Linked DNA regions of Saccharomyces cerevisiae S288C. The protein of the gene in region 3 purifies or fractionates together with the protein of the main gene of each other region. This does not show direct contact. Each region holds a gene or a part of one and is shown on either strand. Other genes may lie near its edges.

Region 1 (4,706 bases), 360 kb from region 3:
TCTATTGCAATGTCCTCTTGTTTGTCTTCGTCATTACCTTTTGAGAAAACATGATCACTTTTACCATTTTCTCCAACGTGTTCTTCGATGGCCCCATTTTGGATTTCCTCCTTTTCACTTTCTGATGATGGATCCGATGATGAAGAATCTGATGATGAAACATCAGCTGTTCTTCTCTTCTTCCTCCTTCTGTTTTTTTTGACAGACTTGATATTTATGGCTGATATATCACCTGCCGACATCCTGTATAATATATTATGGCTAGTTCTTTCCGTGCTATTTCAAGTGGGCAGTTTAAATTCTTGTATATATTACTACAATATATGAAAGTTTTCGCTCTTCGTTTTTTGCAAATTTTTAGTGATGAGCTCTTCGCGCAAAGAAGTTTTCAATGCCCGTAAAGGCACCTAATTATATATCGAATTATTTTAAGCTTTCCGCTTCATCAATGCATTTTGTCTTTATATATCTAGTTTACAAAATAATATGTTGCTATTGCCTTGCTTTTAAAGGCTCAATATCTTGGACTTACTGCCTAGAATAGCTTATCCATTTCCACTAGCGCGTAGTCTAATATGTAACTTTGTTCAACTAAGTTATCAACCCTTGTGAAATGCCTTTGCGTGTATGGAATTATTGCATCAACTATCTTTACCATTCCGGGTATCTCACTCAATTTTGCTATGTTATGATGCATCAAAATACATCTTATTGTTCTTTGCGCTATGGTATGTGTTTTTGCATTTGTATTCCAATCTCTGCATCGTTTCATTAACAAAATTAACTGTTCATCATTTAGGATAGAGATGGCTTGGTCCAATTCTTCATTGAAAATGACTTCAATTTTGCCCTCTTCGGTATCTTGTCTAGACCTTGATTCGCCCAAAGCTCTTTTCAAAACATTAAACAACCTCATTGGGTGATCTAAAGTCATTGCTAACAAAAATGCATTTGTCCAATCACCTTTGCTCATATAATTTTGAAGCGATTGTTCTTGTTCGACTTGTAATTTAGCTTTTTCTTGTTCTTCTTCTATTTCTTGTTCCGTACAATCTTTCCAAAACTGAAAAACACCATCTGCATCAGCACTTACGATCATATCACCATCATTCATAGTACTTAAAGCCCATAATCTATTATTATGACCATCCAAAGTCTTCAGACATTCACCGCTAGAACAATCCCATATTTTGATCAAGCCATCAGCACCACAACTGATCAGTTGTTTTTGCTTATTAATAAACGAACATCTTTGAACCGCATTGGTATGACCTTCCAATGTTTTCATAACGCTGAATGTATCCAATGACCATATCTTGACTGTTTTATCACCTGAAGAAGTTGCCAATAATTTATCATATTGGCAAAATGATACATCCCATAGTCCACGCTTGTGGTTGGCCAACGTGGCTTCCAATTCACCATTTTCTAGGTTCCAGATCTTACAGGTCTTGTCGTATGATGCTGTTGCAAAAATAGAATCGTTAGGAGAAACTGACAAAGCATTGATATCCTTTTCATGGGCATGACGAGTATATTCGGATACCTTGATGATTTGAACATCCATACTAGCAGTTGGCTTTGGAATTATCCATTTCTTAATTGTTAAATCATTCGATGCTGTCAATAAAAATTCAGGATATCCCTTTGAAACTATATTTGGCAATCCAACAGCAGTTACGGCAGCTGAATGACCAATATACTTGGCATAAATATCAAACTTGCAGCTGTTCTCATTGTATCTCCAAACAATAGCCGTATTATCTTTAGAGGCGGTTGCGATCCACAGGCCATCCTCAGTAGCATCCAATGAATTTAGCAAATCTTCATGACCTTCATAAATTTCGACATCCAAAGGCAGCGAAGCTTCTGGGCCTGATAAATCGGGGACGGGTATTATCCTAAGCGATGGAGAATTGGTAGCTAAAGCTAATTTATTCAGCTCTGGGCCAACATACCTCATGTCAGCAATAATACCATGATTACCAGCAATGCTCGAAGTGACCTGTATTGTGTCTTCATCATTCTTTAAGTCTTCTTCAACGTTAATTAGTTGTAATGTCTGGTCAGACAATACTAAAAACATCTGTGAATTGCTCAATATTGGAAGTACACCAATAATGAATAACTCTTCTATAGGTTTATTGGTTCTTTTAAGCACGCTACCAGATTCAGAGTCAATTAACTGAAAGATAGCATCACCGCCGGCTGTATAAATTATGCGTTTACCGTCACCATCCTTTAGGAATCCGCATGACTCTACCTGTTGATTTACTGGAAGTGTTTTCAACAATTTACATTTCTTTTTCATATTGAAATCCCAGAGATTGATGATATCGTCTCTACCACCGGAAAGTAAATTTAGGCTTGGCTCATCATTATCTGGTACCTCAATGATATCCAACCCTCTCACAGCAGATGTGTGCTCTTGTAATGTGTGCAAGCACTTCCTTTTAACAAGATCCCAAACCTTTACCATACCATTGGTGTCACCGGATGCTAATAACCATATTTTACTATTCAATTGTCCATAAAACTTCAAACTGGAAATTGTACCACCATGACCTTTGAACGAATGAGTAATGTAACCATTTTCAATATCCACAACAATTATACTACCATCTGTCCCTCCGACTGCGAGAAGCGTTGAAGTGGAATCTGCGTCGAGAATGTACGATGGAGAAGAGATTTTCATTGATCTGACAACTTTCCCGGTCTTAAGGTGAAAGATTTTTAAAAGCTGAGCTTGTGAAACATACGTGAGATATTGACCATCAGGAGTTAATTTCAGTGCAGTAATTTCTTGCTCGTCTTCATTAGAAATCTTGTGCAAAATTTTTCTGGAGCCTGGGGTTAAATCGATTATGTTGATTTCGTCAAGCACCGGAGTAGCTAGTATTTTACCATTTTCTGAAACAGTGGCAACAGCACTGCTTCCTGCATAAATAGGGTTTAACGATATACCTTTATATGAGGTTTTCAGATCCATATTGTACGTAGTATGGCTTACTACCGTTGAGAGTACTATGTTGTTGGTTCACACCTTTAATGCCATACCGCTATTATATCTGAGAGCGATGAGCTGAATTTTTCAGAAAATTTTCAGTCGCTTTACACGGATATATTAAGAAGCTCCATCTTAATCGCCAGAAGAGTGGATGAGGTTATCATCTCAACTAGAGTCGAAGAGTAAGGCAATCCATCAAATGGGGTTGCTTGAGGCTTATTTACTTTTATACGTCTGATTGGACGGATTATACCAGTAAAAAAAATATTGATTGTGTTTTTCTATAAAAATATGCATATATAAGTAAAAAAATAACATGTAATTCTTTTCAACCAACGATAAAGCAAAATTCAGAGTAGAATAAGGCAAAGTCACATACTGATGATGATATTGTAAACGAAAGGTGATTTGATTGTAGTAACCATAAAAAAATGCAAAATAGCTCATTGTAAGACGTCATTGAATTCGAATGAATGGTTAACATCATTGCCCATAATTCCTTCGATATCTGCCAATGCACTCTCACTAAATAAACCATTTTTAGTGAAACGAAGATTTTCAGCCGCTGCTTCCACCATACTTTGCCTTCTTCTCCACATGGAATTACTATTTTCATGGCTTAATGTATTGTCGAATTGCACAGGAGCGGTTAACGATGCTAGGATATCGGCGTCAGTATCTTCGATCACATGACCTTCTTGTGCATCATAACCGTTAATATCACCTACAGACAGTAAGTCATTTTCATCTTTGCCCAAAATCTCATGAATTTCATCTAAACCAACACTTTTTGTTGAATTTTTCCTTGTATTGCTGTCCACGGCAAGATCAGAATTATGAGGTATTAATGACGCATCTTCAGGTGCGTGAGAGGGAAGTTCATTCATAGGGGTATTTTCATTGGTTGTAAAATCGGTACCGGTATTTATGTCGCTATGGCTGTTATTGTTACCGATGATCTCATGGCCATTGATTCCCAATTGTAAATTCATAGTTTCTTGCTCCTTTATTGCCTTTTGTCTTTGCTTTCTTATTTTAAGAAGCTTCTTTTTTTTCTTTAACTGCCTTTTTTTTTCAGTTTTTTTCCGTTGTAGCTCTTTCATCTTATCAATCTTCTTTCTTGTTCTTTCATTACCAATATAGCCAATGGGAACTTTTCTGTTAGAATTTGCTGGTATCATGTACTCATCTTCTTCATAGGCATTAATACCCTTATTTCTAAATGCAGATAATGGAACCTTAGGAACTTCATACCAATCTGCAGCATGGCCATTTGTGCTTTTGCTATTAATTGCATCATTGTAATTGTTCTCCATATCGTCTGTGTGGGATGGTGAATCATCCTCCAATTCACTCATGTTTAGCAGCTCATTGAGTGTCAATTCGTCACCGTTATTGCCATTAGAGCTTCCCTCTCTTTTAACATCTGGGGTTTGAGCCCTTTGATGTTGCTCGCGAAGCTGTTGATGTTCTTGGATTAAGGCGTATAATGATTTAGTAGACAGACCATCAATAATACTAAAAGGTTTGTTGTCCGTCTCCCAAGTACCCAATTTTGGTGGACGTAATCCAACAACATTTGAACTTACGATTTCCTTTGCTTTTGAGCCAATGTTTTTTGACCTTGAACTTGGGGGCGGTAGGTTATCATCTTCATCTGTGGATTCGTCATCAACGTACACAACAGTCTCTAAGAGAT
Region 2 (7,446 bases), on a different chromosome or scaffold from region 3:
AGCTGTTGAGGTTTTCACTTGATTTTGGTTCAAATACATTATCTCGTTTTCTAATGTTATAGCCTCGAAGAGTTGTAGCCTGCGATGCCATAATATTACCAGTAGAATTGTAGAGCACAGTACAAATACCCGAAATGATATTCGTATATCTAGTATTATAGCTTCAACCGCTTGCAATATGTTCTCTTTCAAACTACCTTATTATCAAGCCTATATCTTATTTTTCACTGATTAGGATTGATAAGCGCAGATAAGCGAAGATAAGAAAATTTTCACTCTGTTCGCCCGCTATTTAGGATCAGTAATTTTAGTAACGTTAATCACTAGGAACGACGAGAAAGATGACAGAATAATATCTCATTGAAACTTGAAGTAGCGTAATTGAAATATTAAGTTCAAACTCAGAAAGGGGCAGCTATCACGAATGAATAACAATATTTTCAATGAAAGATTTCGTTCAACAGCATAGTGTTTTACTTTACAAAAATTTACATAATACTTCACCTTTTTTTTCTAATCTAAATACCTATCAAAAGGTTCCCCTAAAACGTTTTCAACAACCTTGACCAAACCGGTCCTGACTTCACGTTCGATCTCTTCATCATCATCTTCCAATAACTCAGCGATGACGGGAACGAGCTGTGGCAATAGAACTAACCAACTTTCACCTATCTTTGAGTATATCAACTTCATGGCTCTAATAGCCCATAATTTTTCATTGGAGGAACAGGAAGCTTTCATGTGTTCAACGATTAGTTTATTCAAAATTTGGTTATGCTCATCAACGCCACTATTGTTAGAAGCCAGAGCGCCAATTGCCTTGACCAGGTACTTCCCAATAGAGTTTTCTATATTAGATAGTTGATTGACCAAGGATACAGAAATTAACTCGAATCTGGAAGTTGATTTCCAGTATTCGTCTCTATCAAACTTTAGCGAAGAGGTTAGAGAGTTGATTACCAAACGTCTTAAATTAACGTTTTCCATGTCCTTGCTAATGAATCTTTTTAACAACATATCAACAGGTTCTAACAAATACGTGAAATAGGAAGTAATTATACCTCTCAAATTTTCTTGAAGCTTGTTGAAAAATTTGAAAAATGCCAACAGTCTTTCTGTTTCAGTGATACCTGCATTTGTAACGCCTTCACCGTCAAACGCCCATCTTACTAATATAACAAATAGCGGTCTAAATACTTTGTCATTCATCTTCAGGACGTAAGAGTTGGAAATTTCGTGAACGGATGCCTCTATCCTACTAATTGTATTATTATCGAAACTGGAAATGGATCTAAATTCGAATAAAGATAATAGTAACTTAAAAAATATTGGCGATTGTGAGGTTGCGGATTTTTTATCAATATTTTCAACAGTGGATTCTAATGTACTCAAAAATAGACTAACAGCAACTGTATCATTGGACGTTGCTATTTCAGTGGACCAAATTCTGAATAAAACTTTCAAAACTTCCTTCAAATCTATATTCTCAATTATCAATGAAATTACTGACAGCCTAATGCTGCTGTCAACTTCACGGGAAAAATAAATAACATGCAAAACATCCAAAATATTTGACATCAAGAAACTTGGTATCCTTTTGATTAGACCGGCGAACAGCAACAGTATAGCAACTTGCAACTGCTCTTTTAATGGGTTACTACTATCTGCCAATGAAGCATCAAATAATTTAATAGAAGGTGGGACTATTTTTGGATAGAACGCAATTGACTTGACTCCTAAAACTTGAACACAGTTAGTTATCAATGCCAACGAAGATATCTTGACCTCTGTCATATCAGAACTAACTTTTTCAGTAGCAAGGGTGAGGGCTTGAGTTAATATGGACCCCTCAAGCTTCTTACCATATTTGCTCACTAAAGCCGTCATCGTGTTCAATATTACTTGAGAAATAACAACAGATTTAGATTCCAAAGGCATTCTGTCGAGCAAAACCTTCATCACATTGTTAACTATAGGAATAGCTTCAGAGCCTTCTAACTCGAATTTGGACCCTATTACCAACGTTAGGTGGTATCTAATATCTTCATTAGTGGATGTACTGAGTAAGGGTAATACCGCATTAACAAACTCGTCAACTGGTAGAATTTGTAACACATTGCCAAGCACCTTGAATAGAATCTCCTTTATTTCAGTCGTGTGATCTGATAATGATGTTTCAGAGTCGGAAGCTTCCTCATTTTCTTGGGAAGTTATACATGAAAAGGTTAATTCTACAGAATTAATGAAAAAAAGAACACCTTCTAAAAGGGTTCCAAATTCTTCCCTGATGTTTCTAATTAACTTTTTATCGCTTGTTTCATCTAACAAAACAGAATATACCTTTAGTCTTAAATTTCTCCTCACATCGTAATAATCTTGATCTGTTTCCTCGGTTATTTTATTGATAAACTCAAAGGTATTGTTCATAAATGTCAAAAATTCACTTTCCGAAAAATTCAAGACACCATTTGAAAACAAGACACGGGATTCTAGTGATTTCTTCTTTTCCGAGGAGCTCTTTGATGATGTCAACAATTTGATGATATCGAGTAAGTCATTCAAACCTGATAATTCCTCATTGACATGTAGATCAACGAGTAGGGCCTTAATAAACTCAATTAATATTCTTGCCTCGCCAATTTTAAAGTTGACTAAAGCTGAAGAATACTGTTGTGCAATCAAGAAAAGGAACGAGCCCAGTGCCTTTACTGGATCAAGTGTTTTGATTAACGTAGAAAATAATTTAACCCTCCTATGTCTTGGAACATGTTGCAAAGCGGTTGTGAAGCTCAACAAAAGGAACTCCATTTCCTCTTTTTCATTTCCTTTGCTATTCTTGATCAAGGCAGGGACAACAGTTAGTATCGTACGCTCAACAACTTTAGTTGTGAATTCATCATCTTGACGAATACTATGGGCTCCCATAAAAGTAAAGATAGGCATTACAGAATGCAAAATAACTTCCGAACTTAAAGTAGCAAGAGATCCAATTACAAGTAATAGTTTGTTTTGGACTTGCGGAGATGCAGAATTTCTAATAGCGGATACCAATATATCTGCCCTTACGTTGGTTAGTTCTGTACAGCCATGTTCCTTCAAGTATGTGATAGTGTTCAGCGTACAAGAAATCAAAGTTTCTTGCGCATATAAAACCGGTAATCCACCGTCTTGATCCAAAGTTTCCAGATCTGATAATAAGGAAAGTAAAGTGAACAAAAGCTTTTCGGATCCAACATTTCTGACTTTATCAAGTGCTTCCAAAATAATCGTCAACTTTCTCAGGTGCAATTCCGCCAGTTGCGAAACCTCCTCTTTCAAAAATGCGTTTTTACTTGTTGATGAACGTCTTCTTCTTCTTTTAGAAAAGTCTGTCTGATCCATTTCGTTACTGATACTGTTTTGATTTAGTATGGATACAAAAATATCGGAATCTAACGGCAATGATTGTAGTACACCGACTGTATCGTACGATGATTCTACGTTACTCGAAGAATCCACGATATTTTGGACGATTTTTAGTTTTTGAGCATTATTTAATGAAGCGAATATGCTGATAAGCCTCTCGGCAGCTATGTTAGCTAACTGCTCATAATCTGAGTTAAGAGCACTGAGAACAAAATCGATCATGAATGACTGCTTTTCTTTTGGTGATACCAAATTAACTAAAGAGCGCTCAAAATGCTCAAAGTTTGTTTTATTAGCAATACAACTCTTTTCCCAACTAGATCTGTTTTCTAAGTAGTGGGAAATAAATTCCTCAAATAGGGAGGAATAAGAAGATGCATAAGTCGGACTCTTGTTCAGGTTATCCAACAACACTGTCTTGGCATACGGAGAAGGTATTAGTAGGGCTTGATTAGCCCAAAACATCAAAAAGACTTTTTCATTTCTCTTTGGCGTTAAAATTCTGGATATGTCATAATTCTCAGTAACGTACTCATTCAAAAATCCTGATAACCATGCCTCACTATCTTTGGGATTTAACATAGGAATGGTAACGTTCTCTCCGTAAAGTTTATCAGACAAAAAGTAGTGCTTAGTGGATGGTCTTTTAGCAATCAAGGAAAGAATCTTCTTCACGCCAGTCCTAACTTTTATAGAAGCATCTCGCAAAGCGCAAATCAAGCATGGAACTAAAGTAAAAATATTAACTTCCTTTTCAATACTATTAATATATTTTGCAATATTGTTTAAAGATATTAGCTTTAGCGCGGTTGGAGCGGCTGGAGATATAGTTACTCTTAACAAAAACGTTATTCTTGATTCTAAAGTAGTGAAAAATGAAGTCAAGAAGGAACTTGCTTTATAGCCTTTACCAATAGCTTCAGTGAATAAAGATAAAACCTTTTTGTATCTTTCTCCAGTTTCTGTTAGCATGGACACATTCGTTGTGTTTATCAATTCTGAATGCTTATCCAAGAATGTTTGAAATGAAGCGGTATCCTTTTTAGTAGTTTCCACGGGGTCGCTTAACTGCTTTACAATGTCGGTGTTAACATCGGCATTAGTGAACAAAGATGTAGTAAGCCTGATTTCGAAGAGTTCGCCTGTCAGTCCCAATGATTTCAAACATTTTAACACCAAATCTTCATTTATGGAGATAAAATATTCGAATAGTTCTACTAATTGTGACTTGTCCTCTAAAATTTCGGAAAGGTAAATCAAATCAGTGATTATCAACCTAACTTCGTATCTTTCTAGTCTTATTTTTTTTAGTAGGCTAAGAATAATGTTCAATTTGGACCGATCATACCTTGCTATGGATCTTGTATAGGAAGTAATGAATTTATCACAAACTGGTTTGTCTTCCTTATCTAAGAAGGTTAGTATAGACACAGTGTCGAACTTGCTATCAAATAACTTGAAAATTTTGGAAGGTAGCTGATCTACGTTACCTTGTCCTTTTAATGTTTGGAACAGCTTACAAATCGTGAGGAGTGCTGAATGTTTTGCCTCTTTAGCATCTAAGTTTGAAAGAATGGTTTCCATGGCAGCTAAGATAATTGTTTTCTTTAAAGGCAAAGCTGTAGCAAATACAACTAATATGGTATGTGCAGCTATTTGACAATCCTTTGATTTAGAGGCTAAAAGTTTAGCAGATATTTCAAGTAAGATTGGAACAAGCTGATTCAGTTTTTCATCGTTGTTTGAATTGAAAGCAACAACGTTAATAAAGCAGCATGTTGTAAATAAAAGCTGGTTAGTATACGTTGCATTATGCTTAATACATTGATCCAAATAACTGGTATAAAGTTTCAGAAAATCCATGTCATTAAAGAGCTTTATCATGGTTAGCGCCGTTGGGGGCTTTTCACTTCTAACAAAATTCGACAAACAATTAAACAAAGGGGGCAACTTAATAATGCTGAGAATTCTCTTAAAGACAGGTGTTTGGTAGTAGTTGAGAGTGGACAAAAGCAGCATCTCTGTGTTTTTAACATGTATTTGAAAACGACGAACCAACCATTCTGTTGCATGTAGTGTAGGTGCTAAATACCATTTAGAAGAAGCCAATAGCAAGTAAGCATTGATAGCATTATCCAAATCTTTAATTTCTTCTTTTGTTTGGACATTTCTATCAAGAGAAATGGAAGACTCTGAAAAGAGTGTTCTTGAGAAAATGGCAAATTTTGGCTCAATTTGGCTCAATTCTTCAAGAGCCTTACTAGCGTTTTCAAAAATGAAATCGTAATCTTGTGTTGCAGCCGTCTTTGAGTTATAAATCAAAGAAGCAGAATGAAGTTTTTGTCTTCTCTTTCTATCCAACGCAACAGTAGCATTGTTGGAAGCAACTTGAGCTAATTGGTCACTCAACGAAGACATTTTCAAAGTTATTCGTACTTTGGTGGCCAGTTAGATAAGTCTGATTCTGAAAGGTAATAAAGAAAGTATTTGTTACACCTTCGAAAATATCTAGCTCATCGCTAACTGAAAATTTTTTTCTTTGCTTAACGCAGAAAGAAAAAAGAAAAAAAAAAAAGTCATGTGACTTGAATATTATTAATCTATGTATGTTATGATTATTGGCTATGAAACCATAAAATTGAAAAAAAGGATTCATAAGCTGATATGTTATTTGTACTTAATGCTATATTTATAATTTACTTTTGAAATTTTTCTTAGTGGGTCAAAGTCTTCTTTGATACTGAAGAATGACCCAATGGCAACACTTGGTCCATTGGTTAACAAGTTTCTAACGAAGTGGACCTTGTGAGAGCTTATAAACTGAAAAGACCAGTTTTCTTTTTACCAAAGGGGTAGACAAAGAGTGAAGAAGCAAATAGTCCCACAGAAATACCGACACAAACTTGAATCATTGTCATACCAAATGACATTGAGGACGATGGATCGGAGGTGCTTGTCGTAATGGTTTCATTAGCATTAACAATTGTATTTGCACTTTGCAACCCAGACAACAACGAATTTTGTGAAGCAATACCAGATGGCACTTGAACGAAGATTGCGGGAAGCATAGCTGATACCGCTAAACCTTTCCAAATTCTGGAATATAGATTACCTAAAACACCTATGACAAATGCAGCTAAGGCGGCAGTAAACTCTGTCGAATTCGCAAAATGCTTACCGGCCCAATATGTTACGACATAACCGGTGCAAGAAATGAAGACCATAACTGGCAGTTGTGAGATGTGTGCTTGATTTAATAACGAGATACTAATGGTAAACGCTGGAACGAAGAGGAACCTGAACCACGGAGAAATTAATTGAGGACATGAAATTTCGTTAGTGGCATTGTGATACATCCATCCAAACAAAGCTGAGCCCAATGTTATGCCAAAACCCAAAAACAAAGAATAAATAATGGCGTAGAACATACGGACCGCGCCAGCAACTAGGCTTCGACTTTGCAGTTCTAGTGCACCACACAGAATAATATAACCTGGCAGGATTAATGCCAATGAGCCTTGTGTAACTGCACCAAAGCAGATGTGAGAACGAGGGATAGAGCCAAAAGCTCTACCGCAGAAGCTAACGACAATAGATGCAGAAATTTCGAAGACGTTTGAATACATGTATGACTTTTGTGAAAGAATAAATTGTAATGACCCCACACAAAGCCCCATAAAAAATGAGATTGCCAGGTTTACCCAATCGCCACCAAAGGCATACGGAGTGACCATAGCGGAACAAAATGCATATAAAAGAACACACATCCAAGGTGGATATAGATTCGTGTCAGCCAAAATTTGATCGAGTAAAGCATTACCTTCATCGGCACCTAAGGTATCATGGACAACTCTTTTGTAAACGGCATGAACTTGATGCAGCTTCCAAAGGTTTAGACCTTGAGTACACCTAACCAATTGAACTTCGGAAGTTCTTGTTGTTGCATCACCAAATGAAACAATCATACAACCTGGAAGATACAAAACTGACCATCTATTTCAAGGACTCTAGAAGTCATAACCATATATTCTTCAAGCCTAT
Region 3 (5,128 bases):
CGATTCTTTTCTATCAGTTGGTACGTCATTTCAAGGATTCGGAGATCCCTATCCACAAGCTCTGCTTCCTTTTGTAATGCTTCGGTATGCCCCATATACGGAGTGTACTTTTCCAACATATAGTTAATAGGAGAAACACACTTATTTTTAAATGAGTCGTCATGAAGTCGCAATAACTTCTTCAACTGTACATTTAAAATATATGATTGATTATTTTCAATTTCTTGCAAAGTCTTCGAGGCTTCTGTTCTATGCGGAGAGTTGATTATTTTGTCGAGTAATCGGTCAAGTTCTTCAGACCTGTTTGGCATTTTTACGATTATCCAGTTCACACACATTGAGAATGTAAGGAACATTTATTTATTGTCGATCATTTATTAAATGTGGGAGGGACCCTTTAAGAACACTGCAACAAACCCAATAAATAATTCTTGGTTACCCTCTCAAAAAACATCATAGGAAAAAGAAAAATATACAATCTGCCTTTGTTACTAATATACTTGTTCTATATAATGCTCACGCGGTGGTCACAAAAGCTGCCACTCCCATGCAAAACTTCACAAGATCATCTAATCTGTCTTCCTTCTTATGTACATCCTCCCAATTTTGAAGAGCAGAGGCAATATCTTGATTCTTGTTGTTAGCATGAATAACATCACCGTGTGCCTTAAACAGTAAGCTCATAAACGTTTCATAAAGTTCGAAATTTTTATTGCTCTTCAACCCCTGTGTTAACGCGTCGATAAACCACACAATTTCATCAAATGGCTCAAAGGAATTCAATGATCTTATCTCCAAATCCACTGCAGCAGGTGAGAAATTTATTAGAGTGGCCAGCAATGATGAATAGTCCTTGGATTGTGAGCCCTCTCGTAATTGCTTTGTGAAATGTGATTCAAACCCTAATCTTCCTGTAACTTTGAATTTATTCATTTGCTCTTCTGCATCTAACTTCTTTTGTGCTTCTTGATCTCTGCGATGGATTTCTTCTGGTGTTTCATGTGCTATGCCTTCTCTGACAGAGGCTTCATCCCCAACCTTTTCCCCAGATAGTTGCAAGAAAAATGGAAGCTTTTCTGATTTCTTTGGAGCTTCCTTTGGCTTAGAACGTTTTCTGATAACATCTAAATGAAGCAATGTGTTCATTTTACTTCTAGGTCCTATTGATAAAGTCAACAGCTCCTTATCAATCTGTTCCAATGATGTATAAGTGTTGAAATCAATATCATTTAGGTCTTCTCCTCCATTGCTTTCTAAAGCCCCTGATAACATCGAGTCGTTCCCTCGAACAGATGTGCTAGGTAACGCCATTCTTGCAAATTCAGACTCATCGATGGTTCTTGTCGATACTGTCTTAAATTGTGCTCTGTTCGTCCAGATGCATATACCATTACCAGTAACATGGGTAGTGGCAAGCAAGTCACCATTCGGAGAAAACTTTACATTCGTAGCGACATTATCTACTATGATACCATCGATACATCCTCCGGTTGGAAGATCCCACGTTCTAATGGTGGAATCTAGAGAAGCGGAAACAATCCAACGGCCCTCAGGTGAGAAATCAAATGCAGTTATTCTATTACTATGACCCCATAATTGACGAACAACTCTTTGAGTAACTGCGTCAATAACAACAATTGATAAGTCGTCTAAAGCCAATGCAAATAGATCGGAAGAACGATGATAAACCATTGCGGTAATAGGTGCATCCAATTTCAATTTTCCCAACAAGGTTGACTTGTTAAAGTCATAAAAACCAACAATACCGTCTAGTCCACAAGAAACCATTTTACGATTCATACCATCTAAGGATATACCGGTGACTGCTCTTTTGTGCAATTTGTATTTTTTACGGAGTATACCACTTTGCATATTATAGATGGTGATAGAGCCGTTAGAAGAACCGATGAATCCAAAATTACCACATTGCGACATGGCCACAGATTTAACAAATCCATCATCAGTAGTATCAAAAGTCCACCTGCCAACTCTTTTATTTCGCATATCCCAGGTTCTTGCAAACTTTTCATCTTTATGTGCAGTGATAATGTTTTCCCATTCACCTATTCTGGCATTTTCAATTGCAAGAGCCACTATTTCAGGAAATTTAGACTTAATTGTACTACCACCTACCCTGCCGCCATCTTGTTTCTTGTGTAACCTTTGTGACATTTCTTGCGACTGTGCATCTTTACGCAGAGAAAAGCTCCATAATGATCTATCTTTGGATGCTGATAGCATGAAGTGTGATTGCGAATCAGCAAACGCAATGTATGAAGGTGGTTGAGAATGACCCCCTCTGGAACGTAGATATCTTGGCGGTTGAACAACTACATCACCGCTTCCTTGAGATAATGACGGATCGAAAACGTACTCCTTCAGGGAATTGTCACCACCTGATGTAACAATAATGGGTTGACCATTTAAAAAAGTAGCCTGAGTGACACCACCGTACGATTCTCTATGAATGTTCTTCAAAACGTGTATTCTTGAACGGCGATCTAAATCATAAAATATTAGATCACCACTGCTCGTTCCCACACTCAAATGAGAAGAACCGTCGGTTCTGAAACTCAATGAGGAGATTCTTGATTGCGGAATCTTAATTGTGCGGATCCTTTTACCTTTTCTCATATTAAACATAATAACCTCACCGGTCACGGTACCTAGAGCAATAATATCCAGGACTGGAGCGGGTTCAGCAGTTGTGATTTGGTCTGGAAATTCGTTTGATGTGAATACAAGCTTCCCGGTTCTGACGTTAAAAAGTAAAACGTTAGATTTGGTAACGACAGTTAATTTATTCAAATAAGTTGCCAAATGTTGTAAAGACACAATTTCGCCACCTTGAATTTCAGTAACGGTAAGTTTAGTGTAGAATTCTGATGGATATTTATCTTGCGGATCGGACTTCTTGTATATAAAGATGGAATTGTCGTCGGTGGAAGCGCAAAGATAATCTCCGAATATGCACAAATGTTCGACATTTGCATCAGTTTCTAGCTCAAGCAAATGTTCCTCAATACCCCTCTTGTAAATACCAACCTTGTTTTCATATGCTGCGTAGACGTAGTGAAAGTGTGCTGATAATGCTACAATTGAGGATGGTGTTTCTTTCTCGGAAACAAAAAGTAAATGTAAGGTATTCGCATCATATATCTGAAATGTTTTACCAACACACGTTACAATGTAAAAGGTAGATCCCAATGTACCAGTAGCAAAAGGAACACCATTGCTAACATTACCAATAATCCGGAAAGGGGAAAATATCTTAGAATTTTTCCCTCTACTTCTTACGTCTTCTTCGACTTTTCTTTTTTTCAAGTCGATAGACATAATGTACTATTCCTAACTCGCTATAGCCTTTTCAGTGTCTTATTCCTTGCTGCTGTTTCGCTGTATATTTATTGTGCTTAGGACTTATTAAATTTCATTAGCAATCTCATCGCGAAATTTTTCTCAAAATTTTTCAGTTAAAAAAAAAAAAGCACGTGCTCAAAAATGTTTTTAGAAAATCATTTATTTAAGATAGGAAAAATGCAATTAATCATTGAATCAATATGTTCACCACTTAAATTACCCACTGAGCATTTCATACAAATTCAAAAGCATCTCGTAGCATATTAATATATTGCAGAAGGTCATGAGTGGGATAAAGAAGGAACCGATTGAATCTGATGAGGTTCCTCAACAAGAGACAAAAAATAACTTACCTAGTGCACCTTCTGAGATGTCACCCCTTTTCCTAAACAAAAACACACAGAAGGCTATGCAATCTATTGCACCAATATTGGAGGGTTTCAGTCCTAAGACGTCAGCTAGCGAAAATATGTCTTTGAAATTGCCACCTCCCGGTATTCAAGATGATCACAGTGAAGAGAATCTCACCGTGCATGATACTCTGCAAAGAACCATAAGCACTGCACTAGGAAACGGAAACAACACCAATACAGTTACAACTTCCGGTTTAAAAAAGGCAGACAGTGAATCAAAGTCAGAAGCTGATCCTGAGGGGCTCAGCAATTCTAACATAGTCAATGATGCAGATAACATAAATTCCATCTCCAAGACCGGATCGCCCCATTTACCTCAAGGAACAATGGACGCTGAGCAGACTAACATGGGAACTAACTCTGTACCTACTTCATCAGCTTCTTCACGCAAATCCTCGACTAGTCATCCCAAACCTAGGCTACCCAAGGTAGGGAAGATTGGGGTATGTGCAATGGATGCAAAAGTCCTTTCAAAGCCAATGAGACACATTTTGAATCGTTTAATTGAACATGGTGAATTTGAAACTGTCATTTTTGGAGATAAGGTGATTCTAGATGAAAGAATAGAGAATTGGCCAACTTGCGACTTTTTGATATCTTTCTTTTCTTCAGGATTTCCCCTAGATAAAGCAATTAAATACGTCAAGTTACGCAAGCCTTTCATTATCAATGATTTAATAATGCAAAAGATTTTGTGGGACAGGAGATTATGTCTACAAGTATTAGAAGCCTACAACGTTCCAACACCTCCTAGACTGGAAATCAGTAGAGATGGTGGTCCCCGTGCCAACGAAGAATTAAGGGCAAAATTACGTGAGCATGGCGTAGAAGTTAAACCCGTTGAAGAACCGGAATGGAAAATGGTTGATGATGATACTTTAGAAGTTGATGGGAAAACCATGACTAAGCCCTTTGTTGAAAAGCCCGTTGATGGTGAAGACCACAACATTTATATATACTATCATTCTAAGAACGGAGGAGGCGGTCGTCGTCTATTCCGTAAAGTTGGTAACAAGTCTTCTGAGTTTGATCCTACTTTGGTTCATCCTCGTACGGAGGGGTCTTACATTTATGAGCAGTTTATGGATACCGATAATTTCGAAGATGTGAAGGCTTATACGATTGGTGAGAACTTTTGTCACGCTGAAACTAGGAAATCACCTGTGGTTGATGGTATAGTTAGAAGAAATACTCATGGTAAAGAAGTTAGATATATTACTGAGTTATCAGACGAAGAGAAAACCATTGCTGGGAAAGTTTCCAAAGCTTTTTCACAAATGATCTGTGGTTTCGATTTGCTTCGCGTTTCTGGTAAAAGTTACGTCATTGATGTTAACGGATTTTCTTTTGTAAAG
Region 4 (4,127 bases), on a different chromosome or scaffold from region 3:
TTTGATGGCGCACTAGGAGAAAAGCTGATATCAGGGCCGACTGCTGCAAAAAAAATAAAAAATCTCTTAGCCCAGTATGGAGAAGCGTTAGAAACAAAAACAAGCAAACAAGTTATGCAGACTAAGATAGAACATTATATGGAAAGCATATAACTTACTAATTAACATTTTATTACGTATATACATCTACATTTATCCAGGAAAGAACGTCATAAATAATACTAAAATTAGCTATCTTCCAATACCTCTTGTTTCAACGATACTTTAAATGACAGCCAATTACCAACAAAAAATTATTCAGCACATTCTTCTGGTATTTATGAGTGTATATGTTCCGCATCTCGTCATGAATATTTCATGATGCACTTCATTTTCTTTAAGTGGTCCTTTAAGGGGTTAATGACATTACAAGGTCGATATTCCATAAAAAATGCTGGGTGAACAGAGTTATGAAGAAATAATTTTTTACCTAAATACAAACTAAGTCTTCTTCGGCGTGTTCAAAGTTTTATATTTGTGCTATCTGGCCCTGATCTGCTCTTCTTCGTTTTACCGGAAACATCTTTCTTTTCACCCTTTTGATTGATAACAGTAATATTCTTGGCTTTTGACAAAGTGTCAACAACATCATTCCTTTTAGATCTTTTGTTTACATTTGGCAAATTAGCTTTCGATCTTTTTCTTTTCAAAGCCCTGCGCAATCTGTTTTTATCTTCTCTGGTTAATTCTTCCTTAGACATTGCAACACCATTCTTCAAGCGAATTTCTCCGTCCTTTTCTGCTTTACCGACATTGTATATCTCTTGAGGAGCCAAAGAAGAGGCATTCGACATATAGAGAGGTTGAGCATCCTCCATCGATATAGTGGGTGTTTCAACTCTAATTTCCAAAGAAGTACTTGCTGGCTTAGGAACGAAGTGCACTGATGAAAGCACATCCAATTTATATACCAAGTTAGCATAAAGTTCTGATATTTCGGAATGTGCCTTTTGAAGCTCTTCACTTAATGCAGATTCATCTTCAGCGCGTGTGTAGTCATCCTCATATATTTCTGCTAACGACTTCGAGGATTTAACATCACTCAATTCAAATTGAGGCCGTTGAGACTTACGTGTGATGTCTAACAGGGTTCTTCTTTGAAGGTCGTCAAAGTTACTGTCCTGTATCCTTCGTCTAATCATATCTTCTAATGATTCTGTGACCTCACTTGTTATAACAGGAACAGGCTTTGCAGTTCTGTCGAATTCAAGTTCCTCAGTGAGCAATGCATCTTCGGGACGATCCTTTGCCTTTACTTCACCCTTCAAAGACCATTTCTTCTCGGCAACCGCTTCGTTTTCCAATTGTTCTATCTGTTTTCTAATCTCTATTTGTTGCTTTTCGAAACTAGATAAGTTCTTGTCACTGGCTTCTCCCACTCCCTCAGCATTCGGTTCATCTTCCTCATCCGCAAATAAGTCTAATTTCACTTTATCCATGGCAGAATCATGCTCTTCTTCATCCAATTCTTCATCTTCTTTTGGATCTTTTACGTCAGAGTGCTTCTTCACAGGTTCTTTTGTGGGTTTGTCAAAAAAGTCTTCATAATAAATAGCCTCCTCCTCCTCGTCATCTGAAGGCATATCTTGAAAATAATCTATATCTTCATCCTCACTCCCCTCAGAAGCTTCGTTAGAATCTTCTGCAGCTAAAGTATCCCTATTGAACTTTTCGAGATCGAAAAACTTATCATTGATACCATAAGGATCGGGTGAAGAATGCCTTTCATCTTGCCCAGAAGAAATTCTTTTTTCCTCCGCAAATTCTTCTCTAGCTGCCTCTGCACTGGTTTTTTCGTCATCCATACTAGGTTCTTCATCGTTCTCGGAAAGACTATCATTACTCTGCTCCTCAATCTCAGAAACATCAGCAGAGAGCATCTGCTTTTCTTTAAAAACACTTTCTGCCTCCTCTAGTTCACTTTCTTCCCCGGATGATGAGTTCAGGGTGCTACCATCAGAGAGATTGTGAGAAGGCGTGACAACATCTTTGAGTTCTTGAATTCCTTGAATTAGATCACCATCAATACTATCAAGAACTAGTTTGACCTGCCACCAAACTTGATTGGCGTCTAAACCATCAACAGTGATTTCGTCCAGTTCTGCTTTCTTTGTAATACTCCCATTCTTACAGGTATTGATAACTGAATCTATATATGCTTTAACATCTTTAGAAGTGGCGGAGGGGTCCTTCAAAATAATTCTGCCAGCATTAGATTTCAATACTCCAAAGAGTTCTGACATTATACGACTTTCCTTGGGTCTTTCGTGCACACATCATTTATTCATAACAAAACACTGTTTCTTCAAGAGCTCATCGCAAAATTGAAAATTTTCTGCTTCCCTCGCATGCCGGCGGCCAGTACAGAAAAGGCGGTGAATATTTTATGGAAATAATTCTACACGAAAATATGTATATTACGCAATGGTTTTTCATTATCAGAAGTACAGAGCTAATGTAAATGAATTTTAAGTAGAGTAAGTATGCCCCTCGTCGATTATGAAATAATTGCAGCACCAACACCTAATGTGGACAACACGACACTAATACATATGGTTACGTGACAAGCCACTCTCTCCCATGGTTTGATTGTTGTCTTGCACAATCTTAAATAGAACCAACACGGCAAAATTAGGCAAATTGTAAAACACAAACCGGCCCCCAGAAATGCGATAATCTTATCAAATTCAGGGAAATTAATAGCTATCAAAACGAAGACAACATTAATAAAGATCCTATTGAATACTTGAAGGCCTTTCGCAGCTCTTCTTTTTATGGCGCTGGCCGCTTCATCTATGTGTTGCACATTCATCAGAACGTCCAATACAGAAACGATAGGTCTTGCGTTCAATGGGGTCTTTGCGATAGGAATGATAGTCATAAGCGCTGAAATCAGACCATAAACGAATTTTGGATATCCCTCCGTCAGCAAAACGTTCTTAGTAATTTCATCTTTAACAAGATTTCCAAACATCAAAAAGCCAATAACTGCAGTACCTATGTCCGTAACCGATGTTATCTTATAGGTAGTTTTCAAACAGTCTTTAAATTTATCTGGATGCCTCATATCTGTCTTTAAGTTGGGAAAAACCGCATGTCCTCCCCAGCAGGCACTCAATAAACCTATAGATAAACAGAGATGCTTTAGATCTATCGGCCACATGCTCGTTTCCATCGGATTAACTAATGAACCTGGAGAAGACGACTTGTATAGTCCGCAGCAGCAAATGACTAGCACAGTTCCGGTTGTTGAAAGGATTCCCAGAAGCGAGATATTAGATAGAACACTCAATGGTATAAAAACCGGGGGTGTAACGATAAAAAATGAAACTATTTTGAAAAAAGTGGTGGAGTATTGAGGAAATAGAGCATTTAAAGAATCTCCGAAGAGAATCACCAAGGACACCCCACTACCCAGTAGGTCAAGTGTGAAAAGAGCAGAAATTAGTGCGCGCCCTTTTGTACCAAATGCTGCATATCCCAAGTCCGCGTAAGATATCAAAGTTGGATCTGTATCTAGGCACCTAGACAAAAGTTCAGCAGTACAAAATGTCGCTAAGGCGAAGATTGCAAGCATAGTAAGTCCTATAACCCAGCCGGCGTATTTCAAACCAAGAGGTAACGCCAGGAGCCCAATACCAATCAGTACATTGATTGAGTTGAATATGGTCTGTGGAGCGGTCGACTGACCAGCAAGAAGAGTTACTACCTTACCATCTACACCCTCCACTCTCTTCACTACAATTGAATCCATGTCATTATTTGTAAACCTTCTCCCCGCTCCACCACTCATCATTTCTGTTAAGGAGGCAGTAGGGCGTAATATTGACCCAGAATCCCCAATTGTTGAATTTTGGATGGACCCATAATCATCATCGTGAATAGCCATGCTGGCTGTACTAACTCTATCGTTGTTAGCCAAATTAGTAATGCGCGGGCGACCAGCATTATTTAAAGTTACTGATAATCTTCTACCGTCCAAAGCTGGTGCTAAAGTATCCGGATCGTAGGTTTCATCGTTACTCTCTTTGAAAAAGGATCTTTCATTATCCGCATTTAGCTCGATATTACGAAACGAATTGGCTCTC

Evidence for each region.
Region 1: the proteins of UTP21 (region 3) and UTP13 purify together in Saccharomyces cerevisiae (affinity purification with mass spectrometry; 6 studies listed by BioGRID). This does not show direct contact.
Region 2: the proteins of UTP21 (region 3) and UTP10 purify together in Saccharomyces cerevisiae (affinity purification with mass spectrometry; 6 studies listed by BioGRID). This does not show direct contact.
Region 4: the proteins of UTP21 (region 3) and MPP10 purify together in Saccharomyces cerevisiae (affinity purification with mass spectrometry; 4 studies listed by BioGRID, with this or other methods). This does not show direct contact.

What each region holds. Positions count from the first base shown.
Region 1 is NC_001144.5:578,783-583,488, forward strand, and holds UTP13 (U3 snoRNA-associated protein UTP13), read right to left. Parts: upstream 2,990-4,706; coding exon 536-2,989; downstream 1-535. Other genes in the region: RSA3 (Rsa3p), read right to left, coding at 1-242; IFH1 (Ifh1p), read right to left, coding at 3,451-4,706. UniProt on the Saccharomyces cerevisiae protein: Involved in nucleolar processing of pre-18S ribosomal RNA.
Region 2 is NC_001142.9:211,487-218,932, forward strand, and holds UTP10 (snoRNA-binding rRNA-processing protein UTP10), read right to left. Parts: upstream 5,824-7,446; coding exon 514-5,823; downstream 1-513. Other genes in the region: GZF3 (Gzf3p), read right to left, coding at 1-91; pheromone-regulated protein PRM10, read right to left, coding at 6,219-7,370; YJL107C (uncharacterized protein), read right to left, coding at 7,367-7,446. UniProt on the Saccharomyces cerevisiae protein: Involved in nucleolar processing of pre-18S ribosomal RNA. Required for optimal pre-ribosomal RNA transcription by RNA polymerase I together with a subset of U3 proteins required for transcription (t-UTPs). Involved in ribosome biosynthesis.
Region 3 is NC_001144.5:933,898-939,025, forward strand, and holds UTP21 (rRNA-processing protein UTP21), read right to left. Parts: upstream 3,337-5,128; coding exon 517-3,336; downstream 1-516. Other genes in the region: BLS1 (Bls1p), read right to left, coding at 1-356; inositol polyphosphate kinase VIP1, read left to right, coding at 3,644-5,128. UniProt on the Saccharomyces cerevisiae protein: Involved in nucleolar processing of pre-18S ribosomal RNA and ribosome assembly.
Region 4 is NC_001142.9:437,020-441,146, reverse strand, and holds MPP10 (rRNA-processing protein MPP10), read right to left. Parts: upstream 2,283-4,127; coding exon 501-2,282; downstream 1-500. Other genes in the region: MRX12 (Mrx12p), read left to right, coding at 1-153; AVT1 (Avt1p), read right to left, coding at 2,537-4,127. UniProt on the Saccharomyces cerevisiae protein: Involved in nucleolar processing of pre-18S ribosomal RNA. Required for the early cleavages at sites A0, A1 and A2 during 18S ribosomal pre-RNA processing.